Macaca fascicularis: one gene and its partners. The protein of the gene in region 6 interacts with the protein of the main gene of each other region in a biochemical or structural test. Links are inferred from orthologs where the notes say so. Each region holds a gene or a part of one and is shown on either strand. Other genes may lie near its edges.

The links.
Region 1: of the proteins of CDC25C (region 6) and MARK3, one has a biochemical effect on the other in vitro, tested with the Homo sapiens proteins (3 studies listed by BioGRID, with this or other methods). The link is inferred for Macaca fascicularis from reciprocal best matches to the Homo sapiens genes CDC25C and MARK3.
Region 2: of the proteins of CDC25C (region 6) and PLK3, one has a biochemical effect on the other in vitro, tested with the Homo sapiens proteins (2 studies listed by BioGRID, with this or other methods). The link is inferred for Macaca fascicularis from reciprocal best matches to the Homo sapiens genes CDC25C and PLK3.
Region 3: of the proteins of CDC25C (region 6) and CHEK1, one has a biochemical effect on the other in vitro, tested with the Homo sapiens proteins (16 studies listed by BioGRID and IntAct, with this or other methods). The link is inferred for Macaca fascicularis from reciprocal best matches to the Homo sapiens genes CDC25C and CHEK1.
Region 4: of the proteins of CDC25C (region 6) and CDK2, one has a biochemical effect on the other in vitro, tested with the Homo sapiens proteins (3 studies listed by BioGRID). The link is inferred for Macaca fascicularis from reciprocal best matches to the Homo sapiens genes CDC25C and CDK2.
Region 5: of the proteins of CDC25C (region 6) and CHEK2, one has a biochemical effect on the other in vitro, tested with the Homo sapiens proteins (14 studies listed by BioGRID). The link is inferred for Macaca fascicularis from reciprocal best matches to the Homo sapiens genes CDC25C and CHEK2.

Annotation. Positions count from the first base shown.
Region 1 is NC_088381.1:171,557,504-171,561,754, forward strand, and holds the start of MARK3 (MAP/microtubule affinity-regulating kinase 3), read left to right. Parts: upstream 1-1,451; 5' UTR 1,452-1,585; exon of another isoform or gene 1,586-1,661; 5' UTR 1,662-2,064; coding exon 2,065-2,115; intron 2,116-4,251. UniProt on the Homo sapiens protein: Serine/threonine-protein kinase. Involved in the specific phosphorylation of microtubule-associated proteins for MAP2 and MAP4. Phosphorylates the microtubule-associated protein MAPT/TAU. Phosphorylates CDC25C on 'Ser-216'.
Region 2 is NC_088375.1:189,941,727-189,945,710, forward strand, and holds the start of PLK3 (serine/threonine-protein kinase PLK3), read right to left. Parts: upstream 2,801-3,984; 5' UTR 2,721-2,800; coding exon 2,628-2,720; intron 2,362-2,627; exon of another isoform or gene 2,268-2,361; coding exon of another isoform or gene 2,226-2,267; coding exon 2,058-2,225; intron 1,892-2,057; coding exon 1,784-1,891; intron 1,696-1,783; coding exon 1,579-1,695; intron 1,426-1,578; coding exon 1,296-1,425; intron 1,207-1,295; coding exon 1,119-1,206; intron 290-1,118; coding exon 194-289; intron 95-193; coding exon 1-94. UniProt on the Homo sapiens protein: Serine/threonine-protein kinase involved in cell cycle regulation, response to stress and Golgi disassembly. Polo-like kinases act by binding and phosphorylating proteins that are already phosphorylated on a specific motif recognized by the POLO box domains.
Region 3 is NC_088388.1:124,191,544-124,195,043, reverse strand, and holds part of CHEK1 (serine/threonine-protein kinase Chk1), read right to left. Parts: intron 3,468-3,500; coding exon 3,363-3,467; intron 1,436-3,362; coding exon 1,340-1,435; intron 1-1,339. UniProt on the Homo sapiens protein: Serine/threonine-protein kinase which is required for checkpoint-mediated cell cycle arrest and activation of DNA repair in response to the presence of DNA damage or unreplicated DNA.
Region 4 is NC_088385.1:62,750,864-62,754,345, reverse strand, and holds the end of CDK2 (cyclin-dependent kinase 2), read right to left. Parts: intron 2,703-3,482; coding exon 2,559-2,702; intron 2,257-2,558; coding exon 2,053-2,256; intron 1,780-2,052; coding exon 1,675-1,779; 3' UTR 501-1,674; downstream 1-500. UniProt on the Homo sapiens protein: Serine/threonine-protein kinase involved in the control of the cell cycle; essential for meiosis, but dispensable for mitosis. Phosphorylates CABLES1, CTNNB1, CDK2AP2, ERCC6, NBN, USP37, p53/TP53, NPM1, CDK7, RB1, BRCA2, MYC, NPAT, EZH2.
Region 5 is NC_088384.1:22,972,205-22,975,704, forward strand, and holds part of CHEK2 (serine/threonine-protein kinase Chk2), read left to right. Parts: intron 1-486; exon of another isoform or gene 487-624; coding exon 625-711; intron 712-1,761; coding exon 1,762-1,925; intron 1,926-2,393; coding exon 2,394-2,509; intron 2,510-3,500. UniProt on the Homo sapiens protein: Serine/threonine-protein kinase which is required for checkpoint-mediated cell cycle arrest, activation of DNA repair and apoptosis in response to the presence of DNA double-strand breaks.
Region 6 is NC_088380.1:144,781,430-144,784,036, forward strand, and holds the end of CDC25C (M-phase inducer phosphatase 3), read right to left. Parts: intron 2,505-2,607; coding exon 2,406-2,504; intron 1,873-2,405; coding exon 1,739-1,872; intron 1,374-1,738; coding exon 1,262-1,373; intron 1,084-1,261; coding exon 934-1,083; 3' UTR 501-933; downstream 1-500. UniProt on the Homo sapiens protein: Functions as a dosage-dependent inducer in mitotic control. Tyrosine protein phosphatase required for progression of the cell cycle. When phosphorylated, highly effective in activating G2 cells into prophase.

The DNA of each region.
Region 1 (4,251 bases), on a different chromosome or scaffold from region 6:
AATTAGCCAGGCGTGGTGGTGGGCGCCTGTAGTCTCAGCTACTCGGGAGGCTGAGGCAGGAGAATGGCGTGAGCCTGGGAGGTGGAGCTTGCAGTGAGCCGAGATCGCGCCACTGCACTCCAGCCTGGGCAACAGAGCGAGACTCCGTCTCAAAAAAAAAAAAAAAAGATACATATATTTCCTGGAGCAAGAAAGGTCTCAAACATCGCAAGACAGTTGGGATGCCAACGGATCAAAGGGGAAGCAAGCATGACATAGCCACCCACTACAAGGGCTTACCTATTATCCAAGCTTTGGGAACTAGGTTAGAATCCCAGCTCTGTCGCTAACCAACCTGTGTACTTTAGCCAAGTCACTGTACCTGTCTAGACTTCGGATCGCATGTGTGTCTGTCCATCTCACAGGGTTACCCTGAGGCTAAATGAGGTAACAAATGTCATGAACCTACAAGGTAGACTCGACTCTCGGTAACAGTTAGTGTCACCCCCATCCCACACTACTCTCCCTCTTTGGACCCTGCACCCATGGATTCCATCCACCGCTGGCCAGGAGCTGAGTAGAGGCACCGAACACGTGAAGAGGTGAATGGGCAAGGAAGGTTTCTAGGTCAGGTAGCATTTCCAGGGTTCCCGCCTGCAGGCGTCTACCGAGTCTGGCCCGAGGCTGGCACCCAAAGATGCTTCCAGTCTTCCAGCAGCGACGCACTGACTGTAAGAAAAGTCTGCTTATAAATTCCGCACAGGCATTTAGGAACTGGTCCCTGGGGGCCTCTACAGATTCATTTCGCCCCCGACTCCATCCCCTTTGTGCCACCCTCGTTATTGCACTCTTCCATCCGGATGGCATTTAGCTGGGTCCAGGTCTGTCACCCGCCTGACCACCAGCTCCTTGAGGGCAAGAGGCTCCTGCTGCCCTCGGAGTCCGGCCCAGCCCGCAGCTGCTCAGATCCGGAGACGGGAAGGTTTGTGGGCGAGAGCCTGACGCCAGGGTCACAGTTAAGGATGCAAGAGCCCGGCTCCTTCCCGTAGCCCCGGCCCTGTCATTAAAGCTGGGGCTCCAGTCGGTGCAGCGCAGTCCGAAGGATGCAACCGCAACTTTTGTGCACAGTAGGCTCTCGATCTGTAATCCAGCCAACCCAGGCCTGTAGTCTGTAAATGCCAACTCAGCGGGAGGGCTCTGGCTGTCGCCCAGGGCCGTTTCTCGGCTCTTTCGGGGTTGCCGGAGCGCTCCGTACAGGAGGAACCCGCCGCCCGCGGTAGTCAGTGGAGACCCGGCCAGCGCTTCCCCGCCCTCTTCACCGCCCCCGCGGCGGGGTCTGGGCCAAGTCGCCCCTAGCAACAACAGCCGGGCCGGCTTTCTCAGGCCACGCTGATTGGCGGGACTCCGGGAGGCGGCCTGTCGTCACTTCCGGCAGCCGGAGGCAGCAGAGGAAGCCGAGGAGCGGCCATCTTGGGTCCGTGAGGCTCCGAGGTGCCGGGGTGCGGCGGCAGCAGCGGCGGCCAGCAGGGCGGAGGCTGAGGCAGCAAGCTCGCTAGAGAGGGAGAAGCAGCCGGGCGCAGGCGCCTCCTCCGCAGCCCGTTCCATGGTCAGCGCCCACAGCCCGCGGCGGCCTGTCTTGCGCTCCACTTCCTTCACATCCTCCTCCGCCTCCTCTTTTTCAGACGCCGCCGGCGGCGCTGTGTGGAGGCCCGGGAGCTGAAATTCGCGGCGCGACGGGCGGGAGTGGAGAAGGAGGCGAGGGGGCCCGGGATCGCGGGGCGCCCTGAGGCGAGGGGACGCCGGCGGGCCGAAGCCGGCAGCTCGCCGCAGGCTCGGCTCCGCCACTGCCGCCCTCCCGGGCTCCTCGCCTCGGCCGCCGGGGCAGGGAGAGAATGAGCCCCGGGACCCGCCGGGGGACGGCCCGGGCCAGGCCCGGGATCTAGACGGCCGTAGAGGGAAGGGAGCCGCCTTCCCCACGGCGCCGCTTCGAAACTGCCGTGGACTCGAGGACGCTGGTCGCCGGCCTCCTAAGGCTGTGCTGTTTTGTTTTCGCCCTCGCATTGTGCAGAATTAAAGTGCAGTAAAATGTCCACTAGGACCCCATTGCCAACGGTGAATGAACGAGACACTGAAAACGTAAGTAACCTGGGCGTTGTAGTTGGCGGACCTTCGGGGTGGCCTTCGTGCTCCTCGGGCAGTGCCTTGCAGTCGGGTGTTCCCCCCCAGCCCGAACGCTCTGGAAATAGAGGGCAGGCCGTAGTCACCCAAGAGGCAGCCAGGTCGGACCGTTTCCTCCAGAAGTCCGCCCTGTCCCGCTGTTCGCGGGCGGGTCTACGAAGTATATCGATTATGCCTGCAGTCTAGTCGATTAGTAAAGCCCGTAAGTTGCATCGTTACGAATCGGTGCTTTGAGAGGCCGGGTTGCCGCTCAATGGATTGTGCAAGTGTGCGTGTCAGATCACTGCAGTGGTCAGTGCTTATTTTAACCGAACTCTGCTTTTAACTTGGTCAGGCATTTCTTGAGAGACTATCATATTAATACCATATGTACTGGTGCTGATTAAGAGTAATCGATTGAGTCAAGTGGGCTGTCTCGTTCTTTTAAGATGGAACTAAATTTAATCACAGTCACTAAGTGTCTACTGAGGGATCTTTGCGGTCCCCTTAGGAATTCCAAAACACTAGCGGGCAGCCTTTATTAAGGCATAGGTTCCTTTACATACAAATCTTTTTTGAAGGAGTTAAACATTTTAAAAAGCAGAAAAGCAGATGTATAGTGAAGCTGTGCTCTGCCACTCACTGCCTAGCTGAGGGACACCCGCTGGGGCTTCGCTGTCCTCCTTCCTAAAAAGAGGTTGACTTAGATGAGCTCTTAGGTCCGTTTCAGCGCTCACAGGCTATGATTTTATAAAAGGAACCTTTGATTTTGTGCATGTGAAACTACAAAATGCCAGGAACAGCATTGCTAGAGAATGAGAACTTGTAGTAGAAATGCCATTGAAGAAACGTTTGACAAACTCTGTTCGTTTTCTGAACTCTCCTCTAACACTGGCTTCAAAAGTGTTTCAATCTAGTTGTTGCCTATATTCTGTAAAACGTCTAGTAAATAACTTGTAAAGAAACTTCACTGGCCTTTCATTAAAAGTGTTATGAGGTAATTGCTGGCACGAAATGTCTTCTCTTAGGGAATGCTTCCTTGCTTTGAGTGTTTTCATGCTTTCAGTAATGTCCTGAGATGTTATGGCAATGTTTTAATTTTGATCTTCAAAAATGCCACTTGTTTGCTGGATAGCTATTTGATAATTTAATCTGTAAACGTAAAACCATAGCCTAAAACATCCCTGTAGCATATTAGTGTATAATATTTAATGCTCTTTAGCCCTTAGTGAGTAGAACAGTGGTGTACCTTTCTCCACCTGAGAGAGATTAGAAAATTATATAAAGAGCGAGTAATAGAAACTCTTAGACTAGGTGAGTCAGGGAACTATTTTCTTATGGTCCTTTTAAAGAAACCTTTTTTTGTTTTTTTTTTTTTGAGACAGACCGAGACTGTCTCCCAGGCTGACTGTCTCCCAGGCTGGAGTGTGGTGGTGCGATCTTGGCTCACTGCAGCCTTCGCCTCCCAGGCTGAAGTGATTATCATGCCTCAGCCTCCCGAGTAGCTGAGATTACAGGCATGCACCACCACGCCTGGCTTGCATTTTTGTATTTTTAGTAGACAGGGTTTCACCATGTTGGCCAGGCTGGTCTAGAACTCCTGGCCTCATGTGATCCACCCGCCTCGGCCCCTCAAAGTGCTGATATTACAGGCGTGAGCCAGTGTGCCCAACTGATTAGTTTTGATCATTGATATTCACTCAGAGAAGCAAAACTTTACGTTGAACCAGAGTAGGAGCTCCATGCTTTCTAAACTGAAGCCAAAAACAGTCATAGCAGATTTGTGATAATGAAGGATTTCAAATGGGTCTTCTTTCTCTCTTTCTTTTTTGAGATGGAGTCTGGCTCTGTCTCTCAGACTGGAGTGCTGTGGCACGATCTCGGCTCACTGCAACTTCCACCTCCCAGGTTCAAGTGATTCTCCTGCCTCAGCCTCCTGAGTAGCTAGGATTACAGGCATGCGCCACCACTCCGGGCTAATTTTGTATTTTTAGTAGAGAAGAGGTTTCTCCATGTTTGTCATGCTGGTCTCGATCTCCTGACCTCAGGTGATCCGCCTGCTTCGGCCTCCCAAAGTGCTGGTATCACAGGCGTGAGCCACCACGCCCGGCCATG
Region 2 (3,984 bases), on a different chromosome or scaffold from region 6:
GGCAGGCAGCGTGTAGTGAACCTGCTTGATGCAGCGGTACGTCTCCTTCAGGTCAGCTGTCTCAAAGGGAGGGCTCCCGCAGAGCAGCGTGTACCTATAGGGCAGGGCCAAGGGGTCAGGAGTAAAGTGGAGGGGATACCCCACCCACACACCCACCACCTGTCTGCTGCCGAACCTGGACCCTGCGACTCACATGACACAGCCCAGTGACCACACATCCGCCTCGGGCCCATGGCCCTGTCTCAGTAGCACTTCTGGAGCCACATAGTTGGGGGTGCCACAGATGGTCCTGAAAGAGGGTGGGGAGGAGGAGAAAAGGCTGAGACCCAGCCCAGCAGCCCCCCCACCCCTTCCCCCACTGTGAGTCCAGACAAAGCAGCTGCCTGTCACCAAAGGCCAGAGAACTCCTGCTTGTCCTGGGACAATGGATGCCAGGGATGGCAGCTGAGTCCCCGCCCACCCGCCTGGCCCAGCTGCTCAGCTGCTCTTCATGACAGGGGGAGGGCCTGACCCCCAGCCCAGTCCCCTCCTCCAGGGTCAACACAGAGAGTCCACAGCTGATCCCTTCCCCCTTCCTCACTCCTGTCTCTCAGACAGTCATCAGGCTGTCACCTCCCATGGTTTGTGCCACACACACACCAACACCAGCTGTCACAACCCCCATAAACACTTATCTGCCACATATGCTGTCTGTGTCACACACACAAAGTACGATGGCCACAGCAGGGTCTTCTTACACCCAGTGTCATATCCTACCATTCCCACACTCTCAGTCTGTCTCTCACACACAAACACACACACACGCTGCCTGTAACCTTCCCCTATCCACACGAAGGGTAAGTCATATGCCTCCAAGAATCTGTACACCCCTATCTGTCTCAGGGACTCAGGGTCACCTACCCTATCTGTGTCACACACCTATAGGATTCTACCCCTCTCCACTGGTCCCGGTAACACAGGCTGCCACCTCCACCTTCACACATGCATAAACAGCCCCTCATCCCTTCCCATTTATCTCATGCACACATCAAGCAGTCACCTTGCCTCCCACATACATATGCACTGTCTGTCACGCATGTCATCTGTATCACACACAGGCTCCTTTCTTCAAAACTCACTTCTTCCTCTGCTCCGGAGGCTCCAACCGGGCTGCCAGCCCAAAATCCCCCACCTTCAGTTCCATGTTCTCAGTGATGAAAAAATTTCCTAGATGGGGAAAGAGAGGTGTGTCAGATTCTTTCCTTCCTTCCTCCCTCCCTCCCCAACCTCCCATCCTCCAGGCTCAGGAGTCTCACCCAACTTGAGGTCCCGGTGCAAGATGCCGCGCTGGTGCAAGTACTTGAGGCCGGAAAGAATCTGCCGCAGGTAGTAGCGCACTTCTGGCTCCAACAGGGTGTGCCGGGCCTTCCAGATGTGGGCCAGGGACTGCAAAGAGCCACTGCCTCAGCCCCTGGTGAGCCCTCCCTCCCCCTTCCCCTCCATCTGTGCTCCCAGAGGAAGAAACAAGGCCCGAGCTTTGGGTCTTAAGACTCTCTTCTCTCCTTCACCCTCATCCCTGCGGGTATCACCATCTTTCACCTTTCGACTGCAGAGCTCCAGGAAAATGTAGATGTTGTCAGCGTCCTCAAAGTGGTGCGAAAAACGCACGATGTGGCGGTGCTGCAGGTCTCGGTGCAGCTCAATCTCATTTAGGATCTGCGATGAGGGCGCAGGGTCGTCATCCTTCCATGGTTCCCATGCCACCGTCCCCACCCCACCCCTCGCCCGCTGAGCCTGGACCTACCTTCTCGCGCTGATGCGGCTTGGCGACGCGGCTCTGCGGGATGACTTTGACAGCGTAGGCGCTGCCAGTCTCTGTGTCAGTGGCCTCGTAGCAGCGGGCGAAGCCCCCCTGTGAAGAGGGGGCGTCAGGCTGGGTGTTCCAGGGGGGCCGACTCTGGCCCGCGGGCGTCCCCGCGTTGGGGGTCAAGTGGCCACGCCCGGCTTGGTGCCAGAAATGAGGCCGGCCGAGACCCCCACCTCCACCATCACCACCCCGCGGACGTCCCCCGGCCCACCTTGCCCAACAAGCGGCCTTTGAAGTAGGTGCGGCCACTGCGCGGGTCCGTGATGAGGCGCCCGGGGTCTGACGTCGGTAGCCCGGCCAGCATCTCCAGCTCAGGTCCGGGCAAGGCACTCGGAGGCGGCCCGGGCCCGGCCGGGGGAGCGGGCTCGGCGGCCGCACGCTGGAAGGGGCGCGGGGACAGGAAACCAGTGGCGGGCTCCATGCGGGCGGCGCGTCGCAGCGCGGGCCCGGCTTCTTCTCGGTTCCGCCCGGCCCCGGCCGCGCGTGGCGCTGCCTGTATTTGCTACGCTGCGCTCGCGCCCGGGGGAGCCCAGCGTTTTTATCAATGAACGCCTGCCCCCTCCCCGGCGTCTCGTCACCAAGAGTCCCGCCCCCTTCCTGGCAGCGAGTCGAGGAGAGGCCCCTCCCATGCCCGGCCTTACATCACCCAGAAGCTCCTCCCCCCCGCAACGCACTGCCAGGCCCCGCCTCCTGGCTGCGCCCCGGGGCGCAGCCCGGCAGCTAGTCACCATGCAGGTGCTACCAGGCCGCCGGGGCCAGCTGATCCCTGTCCGCTTCTCACCCCTCCTTGGCCACTGCGAGTCCCGCTCATGGGGGCCTCTTTCTTTCCCCATCCTTCGGGGCGTGTGCTGAAGTCCGAGTGGGGCCCGGGCATCTGGGGGCGTCCCCCAGCAACTAGATAGATCAGCGTTCCAGCCAGCAGCTGAGAGGCAGGGGCGGCGCTCGCTTTTCCCCAGGCGTGTCACCCGACACTCCCCTTTCAGTGTGCCGGACCGCGTGTGTCCCTCCCCCTCGCCCGGGGCCCGGCCCAGTGCTGCCCTCTTTAGGGCCTGGAAGGAAGGCACAGTCTCGCGCCTGGCTTGCCTGGCCTGAGGGCTGCCTTGCCAGGTTTAGGAGTCCAGTCAAGCAGAGACTGGACCCTTTTACCATGCTCCAGGCCACATCTTCCGCTACCCACTTCTACACTCTTGAGGGGCAGATTTCGGGTTCCTGCGGGGTCCCCAATTCCCTTCCTCTGAAAATACCCGCGGGCCTGGGTCAGCAGCCAGAAGGCCAGAAAGTGAATGGGAATTGGATTTTCTTTTTTCTTTTTTTTTTTTTTTTGAGACGGAGTCTCACTGTGTCGCCCAGGTTGGAGTGCAGTGGCGCAATCTCCGCTCACTGCAAGCTCTGCCGCCTCCCAGGTTCACGCCATTCTCCTGGCTCAGCCACCCTAGAAGCTGGGACTACAGGGTGCCCGCCACCACGCCCGGCTAATTTTTTTTGTATTTTTAGTATAGTAGAGATGGGGTTTCATCGTGTTTGCCAGGATGATCTCGATCTCCTGACCTCGTGATCCGCCCGCCTCGGCCTCCCAAAGTGCTGGGATTACAGGCGTGAGCCACCGCGCCCGGCCCTTTTTTTTTTTTTTTTTTTTTTTTTTTTGAGACAGAGTTTCGCTCTTGTTGCCCAGGCTGGAGTGCAATGGCGCGATCTTGACTCACCCCAAACTCTGCCTTCCAAGTTCAAGCGATTCTCCTGCCTCAGCCTCCCAAGCAGCTGGGATTACAGGCGTGCGCCATCACACCCGGCTAATTTTGTATTTTTTTTTTTTTTAAGTAGAGATAGGGTTTCTCCACGTTGGTCAGACTGATCTGGAACTCCCAGCCTCAGGTGATCTGCCCACTTCAGCCTCCCAAAGTGTTGGGATTACAGGCGTGAGCCACCGCGCCTGGCCGGGAATTGGATTTTCTCAAATGCTAGACACGGGCAATTGGGCAGCTAGTCTCTGGACCATGTGGACCCCTAGACCCCTGCGCAATGCCCGAGACAGAGGCCCAAGACCACAGGTCTCCTAGCCTTGTCTCTCACCTCTCTGCCCACCCTCTGCACCAGCCAATCAATTACCATGCCATTCCTCAAAAGATTTATTGAGAGCA
Region 3 (3,500 bases), on a different chromosome or scaffold from region 6:
AAGGTCAAGTAACAGTGAAGTCAGGATATTAGGAGGATCATCCAAATAAATATTTAAATCACCAAGAATCATGACGAAAATTACATCAAGGGTCATTATGGAGACTATGATAGTATGGCAGAAATTTTAATTGGGGGTTCAAAAGTTAGAGGGGAGAGACATACAGGAAGATGGGAGAAAGTAACAATGAAAAATAAGGAGGACACTTGTGCCATATCCAGATCAAAGGACATGAGGGTATGGGAAAGAAAATACCTACCACTTCAGAGGAAGCAGTGTCCTCAGGGGAGAATTGGACTTTAAGTTAGAACAACGAGAAAGAAACAGGCAGAGAGGTATTAAAGAAGAATGAATTTTTAAACATTAACTCTTTTCTTTCCATGAGGACAGAGTTAAATATTAATTCTTCTTTAATAACTCTCTGAATGTTTCTCATTCATAATCTCTAGTCATTGTCCTCTCTCCTCCCATTCACAGCCTAACAGTCCTATCAATACTAGTTCTTAAATTTCTTTGGGATCATCTCATCTCTCCAATACCACTGCCCTAACCTACTCCAAGCCACCATCTTACCACAACTAGACAACTAGCAGAAAAACTACGGTACCCTGAATCTTTCCCTATTCATAAAAAACAATGGAGGTGGGGGGGAAGGTCATCAGAGAGATATTTTTAAACCAAAGATATGACTATGTCATATTCTTGCTTAAAATCTCCCAAAGGTCTCCCCAGTGGTCTTAAGTTAAAGCCCCAAATCCTTAACATGGCTTACAAGGTCTTCTTCCACAAACGGGCCACTAGTGACCTCTCTGTCCTCATCTCACACCTCTCTTCCTCTCCCACTTCCCTGTTCACTCATTCACTCAACAAATATTTAATGAGTGCCTATGGTGCACCATATACTGTGCTAAGCACTGACGATGCAATGATGAACACAGCAGACATGGCTCGTGCCATACTGATCTTTCAAGTTTCTCAAATGCATCAGACTTTCAAAAACCTAAGAGTTTTCAAATACTGCTTCCCCTGTTCAGAATCAAATCTGCCACTTACTTTGCCTGGCTAGCTTCCCTTTAATCTTCAAATCTTAGATTTAATGTAATTTCTTCAGGAAGAAGTCTTCCCTGTCCCTTAGACTTGGTCAAACACTTAGCTATAGTTCCCTGACTTTCCCTTTTATAATTATTAATAAAATTATTTTTATATTTTTTTCCTAGTAGACATTATAATCTCCATGAGGACAGAGATCATAGCCATCATGTGTTGTTGATTTGTGATAATGACTTTGCAATTACCTTTTCTTCCACAGAAAAACAAACATGTAGTTTAAGGATATTACCTTTCTTGAGGGGTTTGTTGTACCATCTATCTTTTTTGATGTCTGGAATGGTAATTCTTGCTGATGGATTCTCAACTAGGATTTTATGCAGCAGAGCTAAAAACAAACATTAAGACAACATTCATGAAAGCGTCACGGAGATTCGAGAAGCCTATGGCTTGCGGTAAGAAACACATTTTCTGTTGGCCTACTCATGTCTAAATATTATTTCTGGGGAAGAGAAAGAATTAAAGCTACTAAATTATTGCTTTAATTTCATGCGGTTTTTCTCTGCTGCTGTCTATATCTTGGAATAGTCTTCCCTTGATCTGATTCTCAAATGTTTGCAACTGAGAACAAGAGCCAGGTGGAAATGTTTCTCCTCATGTGACAAGATTAACAAAAAGATACAGAAACCCCCTTATATCCGTTTTCAATACTGAATTTCATTACTTCAATGTCATGTTCTCACGTGACCCCCTTATTCAGTTTTATAATGAACATTTACTTACCAATAACTTTTAAAGAGACAGTAATCTAACCATCCTAAGGTATCTTGATTTTCTTGAGAAAAAATTCATATATCTCCCTACATCAAAATTATTTCCTAATGGACCAAAGATTTAAATGTAAAAATGAAGCCATAAAACCATTAAATGAAAAAATAGGGAACTTTTAAATAGTAGAGGTAGAAGACCTTTCCAAAGACATTATAGTCAGGGACCACAAAGGACAAGATAATAGATTTGAATGTCAATATAGCAAAACAAAATGAAAATAAATGATAAACTGTGAAAAGTATTTGTAACAAGTGCAAAGGTCAATATGTTACAAAAAAAAAAACAAAACTTCAAACTGGTAAGAAAAATATGCTTGACAAAAATGAGCAAAATAGACAAAAAACTAACATATAAATAAAGTGTATACAACTTCATTAGTATTAAATTTAAAATAAAAATAAAAGACTATCATTTAAAGGCCTGTTAGTTTTTTGTTTTTTTTTTTTAATGTAAATTGATGAGACTGTGATGAAATGGTTTGAACTTTCAGGAAGCAATTTGACAAAATAAGCCATAATAATAAAAACTACATCTTTGATGCTGCAATTTTGCTTCTGGGGATTTCAATGAACAATTTAAGGGTATGCGTCATGATTAAGTTACACAGATACTTATATCTCTTTCGTATCTGTGAAAATTTAGAAAAATCTCCAACAAAGTGATTAAAAGAGTATCATAAGGCATATCCACATGGCAGAATATCATCACAGCCTTTAAAACAACGACGTAGACCTACAATTATAGTCATGGAAGAATGTTCACTGCACATGAAAACCAAAAGCAGTTACAAAATATTAGTGTTATCTCATTTTGTATAAAAACACATATAAATAATATACATATATTCATTTTACATACTCATGGGCCACATGAATGATGTTTCAGTCAAGAATGGACCACATGTATAACAGACAGTCCCATTAGATTATAACACTGTATTTTTACTATACTTTTCCTATATTTAGATACACAAATACCATTATGTTACAATTCCTTACAGTACTCAATAGAGTAACATGCTATAGAGGTTTGCAGCCTGGGACCAATAGGCTATACCATATAGCTAGATTTATAGTAAGCTGTACTATCTAGATTTATGTAAGTATACTCTATGATGTTCACACAATGATGAACTCACCTAAGGAAACAACTGTTAGAGTGCATCCCTATAATTAAGCAACAAATGAGTTTATTTGTAACAAAGTATAGCACATGTGAAAACTTTTTTTTTTTTTAAGTAAAAAGCCACCTAAGAGCACAGATTCAACTTGCTCTGAATATACACTCCCCAAAATATTTTTAAAAATCTATGGCAGAGTTCTGGGATGAAAGAGTTATTTTTTCCTTAATTTTTACTTATAGTTACCAATTTATCTACAAGATTCATGAATTATTTCTAAGTTTAAAACAAAAAAATAAGAAAAAATTCAAATAGCACAAGACTTCAAGAAATCAGTACTCTTTCACTCAAGATAATCCGTTACCTAGAGGAGCAGAATCGATTTTTTTCCAAGGGTTGAGGTATGTTTTTTTTTCTTTCCAGTCAGAATATTCCTGACAGCTGTCACTGGGTTGGTCCCATGGCAATTCTAAAAACAAAGCAAGTCCCAGTTTTTTTTAAT
Region 4 (3,482 bases), on a different chromosome or scaffold from region 6:
ATGGCAACTACAAGAAGTGGTAGCTTGGAGACGCTTTTTCAGAATCGTATGTAAATGTAAATAAAATAATCTTTGGAAAACTTTGCTGTTTGTGATATGAAACAGAAAGGAAAAAGGGCGGGCTTACTGGGAAATGCAGTGTCGAGAGGCAAATTCCCCGGGAGCCCTTTTCCTGCCGCTATGTATGTGCATGGGGGTGTGTGTGTGTGCATATATGGTGTGTATGTGGTGTGTTGTGTGTGTGTGGTATGTTGGCTGGGGGAAAGGAAGTTTGCTGGTGTGTGGAGAAAGTAGGAAGTATATAGACTTCAGTTTCCCCAGCCATAAATAGGAACGATAATAACCACTTTGTTCACTGTCAGCACTAGCCAAAATGGGGTGGGGTGGGTGGCCATGCACAGAGAGATTAGGAAAAGGGGTCCGAAATCAATGATCACATATACATATTCATATTCTGTTTCTCACCATTCTTTCAGTAAATAGGAAAGAGATGAACTATAAAACTAGGCACATTTTTTTAATGAACTACAAACTAAATTACAAATAACGTTAATAGCAAGAGCACTCAAGGACAAGGGTGACAGAAACAAATCATAAACAAAAAAAAATGCTTTTTTTTTTTTAAGCACTGTCATTACAAAACCCGAAGGTGCACATGGCAACAAATCCACCCACTCTAACCAAAAAAAAAAAAAAAAAAGCCAACCTTCCTATGGGATATAACCTGAAATATAAATATAATTGTTCATCCTTCTTTTAAAGAAATATTTTTGCCCATGCCCTCACTCAATCACAGCCCTGAAAAAGTGTCAGTACTCTCAAAATGATGCCTAAACCCTAATTTCCAACTCCTATGGGGTAGGAGGTGGACTTCAGAGGAAAACGGGATCAGGGATCCCTGGCAACTGAAGAACTAAGAATACTAAAAGGAAGAGAAAAATTCAAACATCTCTCACCTGCCTCATAAGGCCATGGTGAAGCAATAGATTGGAATGAAGCACAATCCCTGTCCCAGGGCCTCCCAAATTCCTCATGCCTGTAGAAGGGACAAACAAGGGGACTGGGGCCAATCATTTTTCTGCAGCCCCACCCAGGCTGAGTCTTGAGTCTCCCAGCCTATTAGGTGAGGCAGAACACTAACTAGGGTATAAACTGATTGGATCTATTTTTTCAACCGAATTCTTTAAAATAGACTCCTCCCAGTGGTTTTGTTTGACTTGGTTCTCAAAAGTTCCAACTTAGCCCCCTGCTATCATTTGGCCTTTACAAACATTGCGGCAGCAGGAGGCTTGGGATCCTGGTCATCTCAAACACTGGAAATAATAATTACGGGGCATTCAGAGATTGGTACGGCAAATCTAACATGTAGGAAGGCTTTTTTTTTTTTTCTTTTTTTTTTTTTTTAATAGCAACCCTCTTCAGCAGTAACTAAGAGAAGGGGGAAAGGGTGGTGGAGGCTAACTTAAGTGCATCTAATACTGAAACTTCCTTTCATTTTCACTGGTTCCTCCCTTTCACCCCTGTATTCCCAGAGTTGGCTGGCCAAGACTAGAAGGTGAGTGTTTAAGGCAAGATCAGAGGGCCCACCTGAGTCCAAATAGCCCAAGGCCAAGCCAGGTCAAGCCCACACTGGAGCAGAGGGTGAGATTAGGGCTGGAGGCTTCGAGAAGGCTATCAGAGTCGAAGATGGGGTACTGGCTTGGTCACATCCTGGAAGAAAGGGTGAGCCAGGGCTGCCTTGGCCGAAATCCGCTTGTTAGGATCGTAGTGCAGCATTTGCTAGAGGGAGAGATGTATGTTGACTTCAATCATGTGATAGTGGACTAAATGGGCAGCAGATGTTCCCAGAAATCAGGAAACCAGAACTCCTTCTACCCAAGGCGGAATTCTTACTTCCATCCTCCCATAGCTGAATCAGTGTGCCAACAGGGAGAGCAGGAACCAGGGAAACAAAATACTGAGGCCCAGATTTCAGGGTCTCATCCTTCCTTCATCCTGGAAAAGCCCTTCCCTGGGAGAAATGAATGAGGGAAAACAGGTGCCCACTCTCACCGATAACAAGCTCCGTCCATCTTCATCCAGGGGAGGTACAACTTTACTAAAATCTTGCCGGGCCCACTTGGGGAAACTTGGCTTGTAATCAGGCATAGAAGTAACTCCTGGCCACACCACCTCATCTGGGGTCCCCAGAGTCCGAAAGATCCGGAAGAGCTGGTCAATCTCAGAATCTCCAGGGAATAGGGCCCGGCGAGTCACCTGAAAATGGGGAAAGAGAAAATACCAAGACCTATGTTGAAGTCAGTCAAAACTCTCCTCTATACAAAGGAGTTCCCACAGACAGTAGAAGGTCAGCAGGGCCCCATGACTCCCTCCCCAGGGCCTTTCATGGGGTCAGTCACACAGAACCTGAGACAATGAAGTCCCTTCATCTGTCTCCTCGCCCCCTCCTTCCTTCCCCCAACCATGGCTTTGCAGATCCCCAAGGCTGGGTGGGTCTGGGAGGGGCTGAATGTCTGCGATGCCACTGACATGTAGCAAAGGGATCCCAAGCCACTCACGGGGTATGGGGTAGACACTGCAGTCATCCCCCAACCTTGTGATGCAGCCACTTCTAGATAGGAGCACAGCGGGCAGAGGCTCTGTCTTCCATTTCTTCTGTGTTCCCCACAGTACCTAGCATGGTGCTGGCTACCCACTAGGTGCTTAACAAATATTTTTGGATGAATTGAGAGAGGAATATGGACAATTGTAAGGTAATGCACTGGGGGATAAATGCACATTACATATGTACAGGCTAATGGTCTTTAAGCTGTTGGTTACAACCCAGATAAAAGACAATAAAACATATTGCTGATTTGAAGCCTCAGCCTACTGCACTGCACTGTTGTATTAAAGGAGATAGGAGCTTCTACATAAAGCCAGGCCTCAAGGATCCTTCAATCTGAAAAGCCAGAGGTTGAAGGGGGACATGATCTAAATCTTCTTTTTTTTTTTTTTTGAGATGGAATCTCGTTCTGTCGCCCAGGCTGGAGTGCAGTGGTGCGATCTTGGCTCACTGCAACCTCCATCTCCTGGGTTCAAGCGATTCTCCTGCCTTGGCCTCCCAAGTAGCTGGGATTACAGGTGTGTGCCACCACACCTGGCTAATTTTTGTTTTTTTAGTACAGATGGGGTTTCACCATTTTGGCCAGGCTGGTCTCGAACTCCTGACCTCAGGTGATCCACCTATACCTCAGCTTCCCACAGTGCTGGGACTATAGGTGTGAGCCACTGCACTCTGCCTAAATCTGCAATTTAAATGAAGGGTGTGGATAAAGTGACCACAATTGTCTTTACTACATTGCTGGCACCACACAATAAGGTCTACAAGCCTTGAAATGAAGGCCTGAAATAAAAGAGGCACTAAATGGAATCATTCTCCCAAATATATGCAGACTCAGCTAAAATGGCTGCAGAAATGCTTTATGTCATTTCAGGGATAA
Region 5 (3,500 bases), on a different chromosome or scaffold from region 6:
TTCTCCTGGCTCAGCCTCCCGAGTAGCTGGGACTACAGGCGCTCGCCACCTCGCCTGGCTAGTTTTTTTTTTTTTGTACTTTTTAGTAGAGACGGGGTTTCACTGTGTTAGCCAGGATGGTCTCGATCTCCTGACCTCGTGATCCGCCCGTCTCGGCCTCCCAAAGTGCTGGGATTACAGGCTTGAGCCACCACGCCCGGCCTACAAATATATATTTGTATAGATTCCCTTTAAAAATATTCCCAGGACTGCAATAACCAAATATATCATTTTGGTTGAATTTTTGTGTTTATTTGGTATGTTCGCAAAACATTTTCTATTACCCATTTGTATTTGTATTGAAATTGACACCTTACATTTCTGCCACGTGAAGGGTTGTTTATTATCTTAAAGTGAAATGAAAGGTTGATTGTTCTAAGTTGCTTTTTTCATTTCCCTGCTTTTTAAAGATCTTCTCAAACAAATTTGTAAACTTTACCCCAACAGTTTTCTATGATTTTGGACAATATGATTGTGTGTATCACGGCTTACGGTTTCACCCAGCTGTGAGATGTGTGTGTTGGTAACTTTGATTCTACTTATCTACTGCATGAATCTGAGGGTCATGCCTGCCTTTCTGTGTAGTACCTTCATGAAAACGGTATTATACACCGTGACTTAAAGCCAGAGAATGTTTTACTGTCATCTCAAGAAGAGGACTGTCTTATAAAGGTAAGAAATTGGCATTCTGTATGTGGCTATTCCTGTAGATTCTTGTTCAGAAACTTTTAATTCCTCAAATAAAAAGTGGGAGTGTTAAAAGGTTGAGAATCTGACCTCTTACCAATTATTTTAGAGATCAGGTGACATTGCTCTTATCCAGATTTGAATGAGCATTTATTGAGCTCTGTTGTGTGCAAGTGACCTTTGTGCTGAGAGAGAGAGAGGAGGGGTCTAAATGGACTAGTGGCCTGGGCACGGTGGCTCACACCTGTAATCCCAGCACTTTGGGAGGCCGAGGCAGGCAGATCACCTGAGGTCAGGGGTTTGAGACCAGCCTGGCCAACATGGCAAAACCCCATCTCTACTAAAAATACAAAAATTTAGCTGGGCATGGTGGTGGGTGCCTGTAATCCCAGCTACTTGGGAGGCTGAGGCACGAGAATCACTTGAACCTGGGAGGCAGAGGTTGCAGTGAGCTAAGATCGCACCACTGTCCTCCAGCCTGTGCAAAAGGTCGAGACATCATCTCAGAATAGGTGAATGAATGAATGAATGAATGAATGAGTAATCACGTGCCCTGCCTTTCCGTGTTTCTCAAGCCTGGCATCACTTTAGAATCTCTTGTTAGGATTTATGACATCCAGGCTTTACCTCAGAAGCTGAGAGTGGCACTCAGTTATAAGCATGTGTTTCCAAGCTCCCCAGGTATTCCATAGTGCAGCCAAGTTTGAGACACTGGGGCCTAAGAACCACATAGAACTAATTAGAATCCTGAAGTGTCTGTGATAATGGCAATAAGCTTTTTGTAAGATTACAGGGGACATAGGTTAAGTTGGAAAGCCTGAGTGTTGATATTCCTAGGCTCAGGAATTTTAATTTAAGCAAAATTAAATGTCTTAACTTGCAAAGACATGAATCTGTAGATTCCAGATTAATGGCAGGTGTGAATTGTACAATAGAAACTGATCTAGCCTACATGTCTTCTTGGACTGGCAGACTATGTTAATCTTTTTATTTATGACATAGTTCAACATTATCCCCTTTTGTACTGAATTTTAGATTACTGATTTTGGGCACTCCAAAATTTTGGGGGAGACCTCTCTCATGAGAACCTTATGTGGAACCCCCACCTACTTGGCTCCTGAAGTTCTTGTTTCTGTTGGGACTGCTGGATATAACCGTGCTGTGGACTGCTGGAGTTTAGGAGTTATTCTTTTTATCTGGTAAGAAACATTTTCATTGCTTCACAGACTGGTAGGAGGTGATTAAATGAAGTCACAAATGTGTCTTGCTGTGTTGTCCAGGCTGGCATGCAGTGGCTTGATTTTGGCTAACTGTAGCCTCTGCGTCCAGGGTCAAGTGATCCTCCCACCTCAGCCTCCTGACTAGCTGGGACTACAGGCGCACACCACCATGCCCAGCTAATTTTTCTATTTTTTGTAGTGATGGAATTTTGCCATGTTGCCCAGGCTGGTCTCGAACTCCTGGGCTCAAGTGATCCTCCTGCCTCAGCCTCCCAGAGTGCTGGGATTACAAGCATGAGCCATTGTGCCCAGCCTAGCTCACTTTTTGACCATTGATATAAAGAAAAATCTTGACTTTTCATTATGCTGAGAAAGAAATCTTCATATCTGAATGCCACTGAGAATGCCACTTGATTTCTTTTCCTTTCTCTCTCTACCAATATTAAGCCTTAGTGGGTATCCACCTTTCTCTGAGCATAGGACTCAAGTGTCACTGAAGGATCAGATCACCAGTGGAAAATACAACTTCATTCCTGAAGTCTGGGCAGAGGTCTCAGAGAAGGGTATGAATACGAAAGGGTTAAGAATTTGTGGTATGCTAAAATGTGTATTTGCTGTGGTGGGAGTTTCTTTCCAAATTCCATGGTGTTTTCTCCTGTCAATTCTGTTCTTATTTTCTGTTGTTAGTTTCACACCATTTGAGAGGCACTGGAAATTATTAAGAGTGTGCACTCAGGTCCTGGGTCTGCTACTACTTAGCTGTGTGGCCTTAGGCAAGTTATTTAACCTCTGTCTCCAATTTCTTTCTGTGTAAAGGGACCCTCAATAATCCCTACCTTAAAAGGTTTTTGTAAGGGTTAAGTATAATGTACACAAGTGCCTGGTACCTATTTTAGTGCCCAAAAAAGTGCACTTGTAACTTTTTAGTTACAGGGTTTCCTTTGAGTAAGCAAGCATGTAAAAACTAGATGTCATTAGTTACCTTGTATTTTATAATTTATCCTGGCAACTTTAGTTCCCCAAAGAGAAAGTAGAAAATTAAATGTCAAATAATATAACATAGGTGATTGTGTTAAATGTCAGAATATTTAAGGAATAATAGTGTTGTAATATACAAGCCAGCGTGCATTTGTTGCTTGCTGGAGTAGTCAAGTTTTATTTCTGACAAGTCTGCAGTTCCAGGAATCCTCTCCCTGGCTGAGTAACTCTCACCCATCCATCTGTAGATGTCAGGGAGAGTTTGCTACGTATCCCAAGTATCTTAGAATTGGGTGGAAGTTTAGCTTTAATTAGTTTGACCTTGAGTCAACAGGCAACAAGAGAGGGAACAGGCAGCGAAGAGGTCGTGACTGACATCCCAGCAGCAGGAGACAGGGAGTGTCATTATCATTCCTGGTCTTCTCATAGTACTCTGAATACAGAGAGTGAGGAAGATTAGGGGGCCCTGTCTGCTGACTCTGTGATGATCTCAGACCCTCTCTGCTCTTTCTGGATGGTGGCCTGTTAATTCTGGCATACTATTACGATTTAATATATTTATCCTTTTCACTGTGA
Region 6 (2,607 bases):
GGCCGAACATCTGTATTTCAAACAAGTTCAGATCATGTTGATGATCTAGGGTCCAAACTTTGAGAATTACTGGTTTTTTGTTTTGTTTTTGTTTTCTGAGACAGAGTCTCTCTCTGTTGCCCAGGTTGGAGTGCAGTGGCACGATCTCATTGCAACCTTCACCTCCTGAGTTCAAGCGATTCTCCTGTGTCAGTTTCCTGAGTAGCTGGGACTACAGGAGCATGCCACCATGCTGGCTAATTTTTGTATTTTTAGTAGAGATGGGGGTCTCACCATGTTGGCAAGGTTGGCCTCGAACTCCTGACCTCAAGTGATCCACCCACTACGGTCTCCCAAAGTGCCAGGATTACAGATGTAAGCCACGGCCTAAGAATTGCTGGTTTAGAGAAAAGCATGTTGGCCTCAGCTGAGAATAAAGATAATATGTCTGAAGTAGTCTAACTTGGTGATCTCCTCTGTAGACAGATCTTCTAGGAGCAGGCTAGGCTCACAATCACACGTCTCATTCTGTAGTGTTTATTTTTCCATTTTTAAAATAGAGGGGGAAACAAAGAAGGAAAATACAAAGAAAGAGGGTAGACAACTCTCTTGCACAGCCAGAAGCCCAGAGAGAAAGAGTTGGCTGGCCTGTGAGAAGACACGAGGAGTTGGGAAGAGGAATGCCAGAGTTCCCTGAACCAACAAAAATCTCTCTGCAACTCAAGTCTGCCACTCTTATAGAGCTCTTATAGAGCCACTCCAGGACTCTGCCACCAGCTTTCAGCTCTGCTGAAACCGAAGCCATTCCCAGGCCTGTACACAAGTTGGCAGCCTGGTGGTTTGCAGAGACATCTTTTGATAATCTTGGGTTTGGCCATCCAGAAGGCCTCTTTCTGCTCAGGGTTTCTGCAGTGTCTTTTGGTGACTCGTTAGCAGCCAGTGGTTGGAATGTTGTCACGGGCTCACATCCTTCACCAGAAGGGCAATCTGCTCCCGCAGCTGCCGCTCCCCTTCCTGCACTTTGCTCTGGCTTCGACACCTCAGCAACTCAGCCTTGTGGTCCTGATGATGCATAGGGCAGTAGCTCTGTGGTTCACACAGCTCCTGAAAGGTAAGGAACAGAGTAAGGGATTCTCTAGACTCCTGAACTCTACCTACGAAGGATAATAGAGGTGCTGCTGCTGGCAGTGGCCACGGAGGAGCAGCAGTTTCTTCTCTGAGGGCTTTGCAGGCCCTGGGAGTTGCATGCTAAAATTGGCTCCCCGCATGCCCCACCCTTTACCAAATATTCTGGAAAGAAGTCTCTGTAGCCGCCTTTAAGGATATATAGCTCTGGGTAGTACAATGCAGGATACTGGTTCAGAGACCTGTCCTCTTCACGCAGAGAGCGGCACCTTTAGAGAGAACCCAGAGATGGGTGGGGTGGAAAGAAACAAGGTCAGGATCCCAGGGGCTATTCACTGGGCAGGGAGGAGAGGAATAGACTATTGCCAACCTCAACAAGGACCTTCCAATCTCACTGTGTTTGCAAAAAAAAGGTCCAAGTAGCACCACCCTTCCTCCTTTCCTCCACTGCGGTCTCATTCTCAAGTCCCTTTTCCTTTATTGTTTCATACTTTTCAATTTTAGAAACGTCTTCCTTCAACCTCCCTAACATTCTTCAAACTGTAGAATCCAGTCAGTCTCTGTCTGAACTGGTGTGGGAAGTCCAACTCAAAATCCATTTCCATCACCCGCCAGACCCCATTTAGACACTCACATTCGGGGGCCCCTCTCTGAGGAGAATTCACAGTGGAACACGATGATTATTCTCTTCTGGGTGTCCAAAGGGACAATGGGCTTCTTTAGAAAGAAGCTAAACAGTTCTTCCTGACTATACAAGTTTAAGGCTCCCTGTAGAAAAAGAATTTTAGTATTTCCTCAGGGGCTTATAGACAGTGCCAATACTTAGAAATGACTGAGACACCAACCTGGGATAATTTGGACCAGAAAAGCTGGACTATCAGCACCTTTAGGGCAGGGGTCTAAATATATCTCTGTATATACCCTGAACGCCTGGCATAGAGCTTGGTATGTAGTAGATGGTCAATAAATATTCATAGAACTGAACTACTGGAAGTATAGGGATCACTGCGAGGAATGTTCATGAATATTAAGTGTTTGCAAAGTGCTTTAGTCCTTGGATTCATGTTTTTATTTCTAGGTAGGACCCCTTGGCTCCTACAGAAAAGAGGGAGATAGATCTAGGAAGGAAAGGGAAAGTAAGCTGCTTAAGGTATACAGAATTAAAACAATGAGGACCTCAGCCTTGATGTGCTTCAAATATGTAATCTTTGTCCTAATTCTAGGCCCCTTTGTCCACAGACTCTTCTCAATAAAGAGCTATCTCCAGTACTCCCCTACTAATGGCCACCATGTCATCTCACCTGGATGTGTCCTCCCAGGTACTCATATGGATAGCGACAATCAATGACATAAAACTTCTCAATCAGACCCTGGAACTTCCCCGACAGTAAGGCAGCCACCTGGACAGAAACAATGACTGAATATTCTGCTCACTACAACTCTGAGTGAGAGAAGGGTCAATGACACAGTTCCTTACAAGCATACTCCTGTTATGTCCACTGT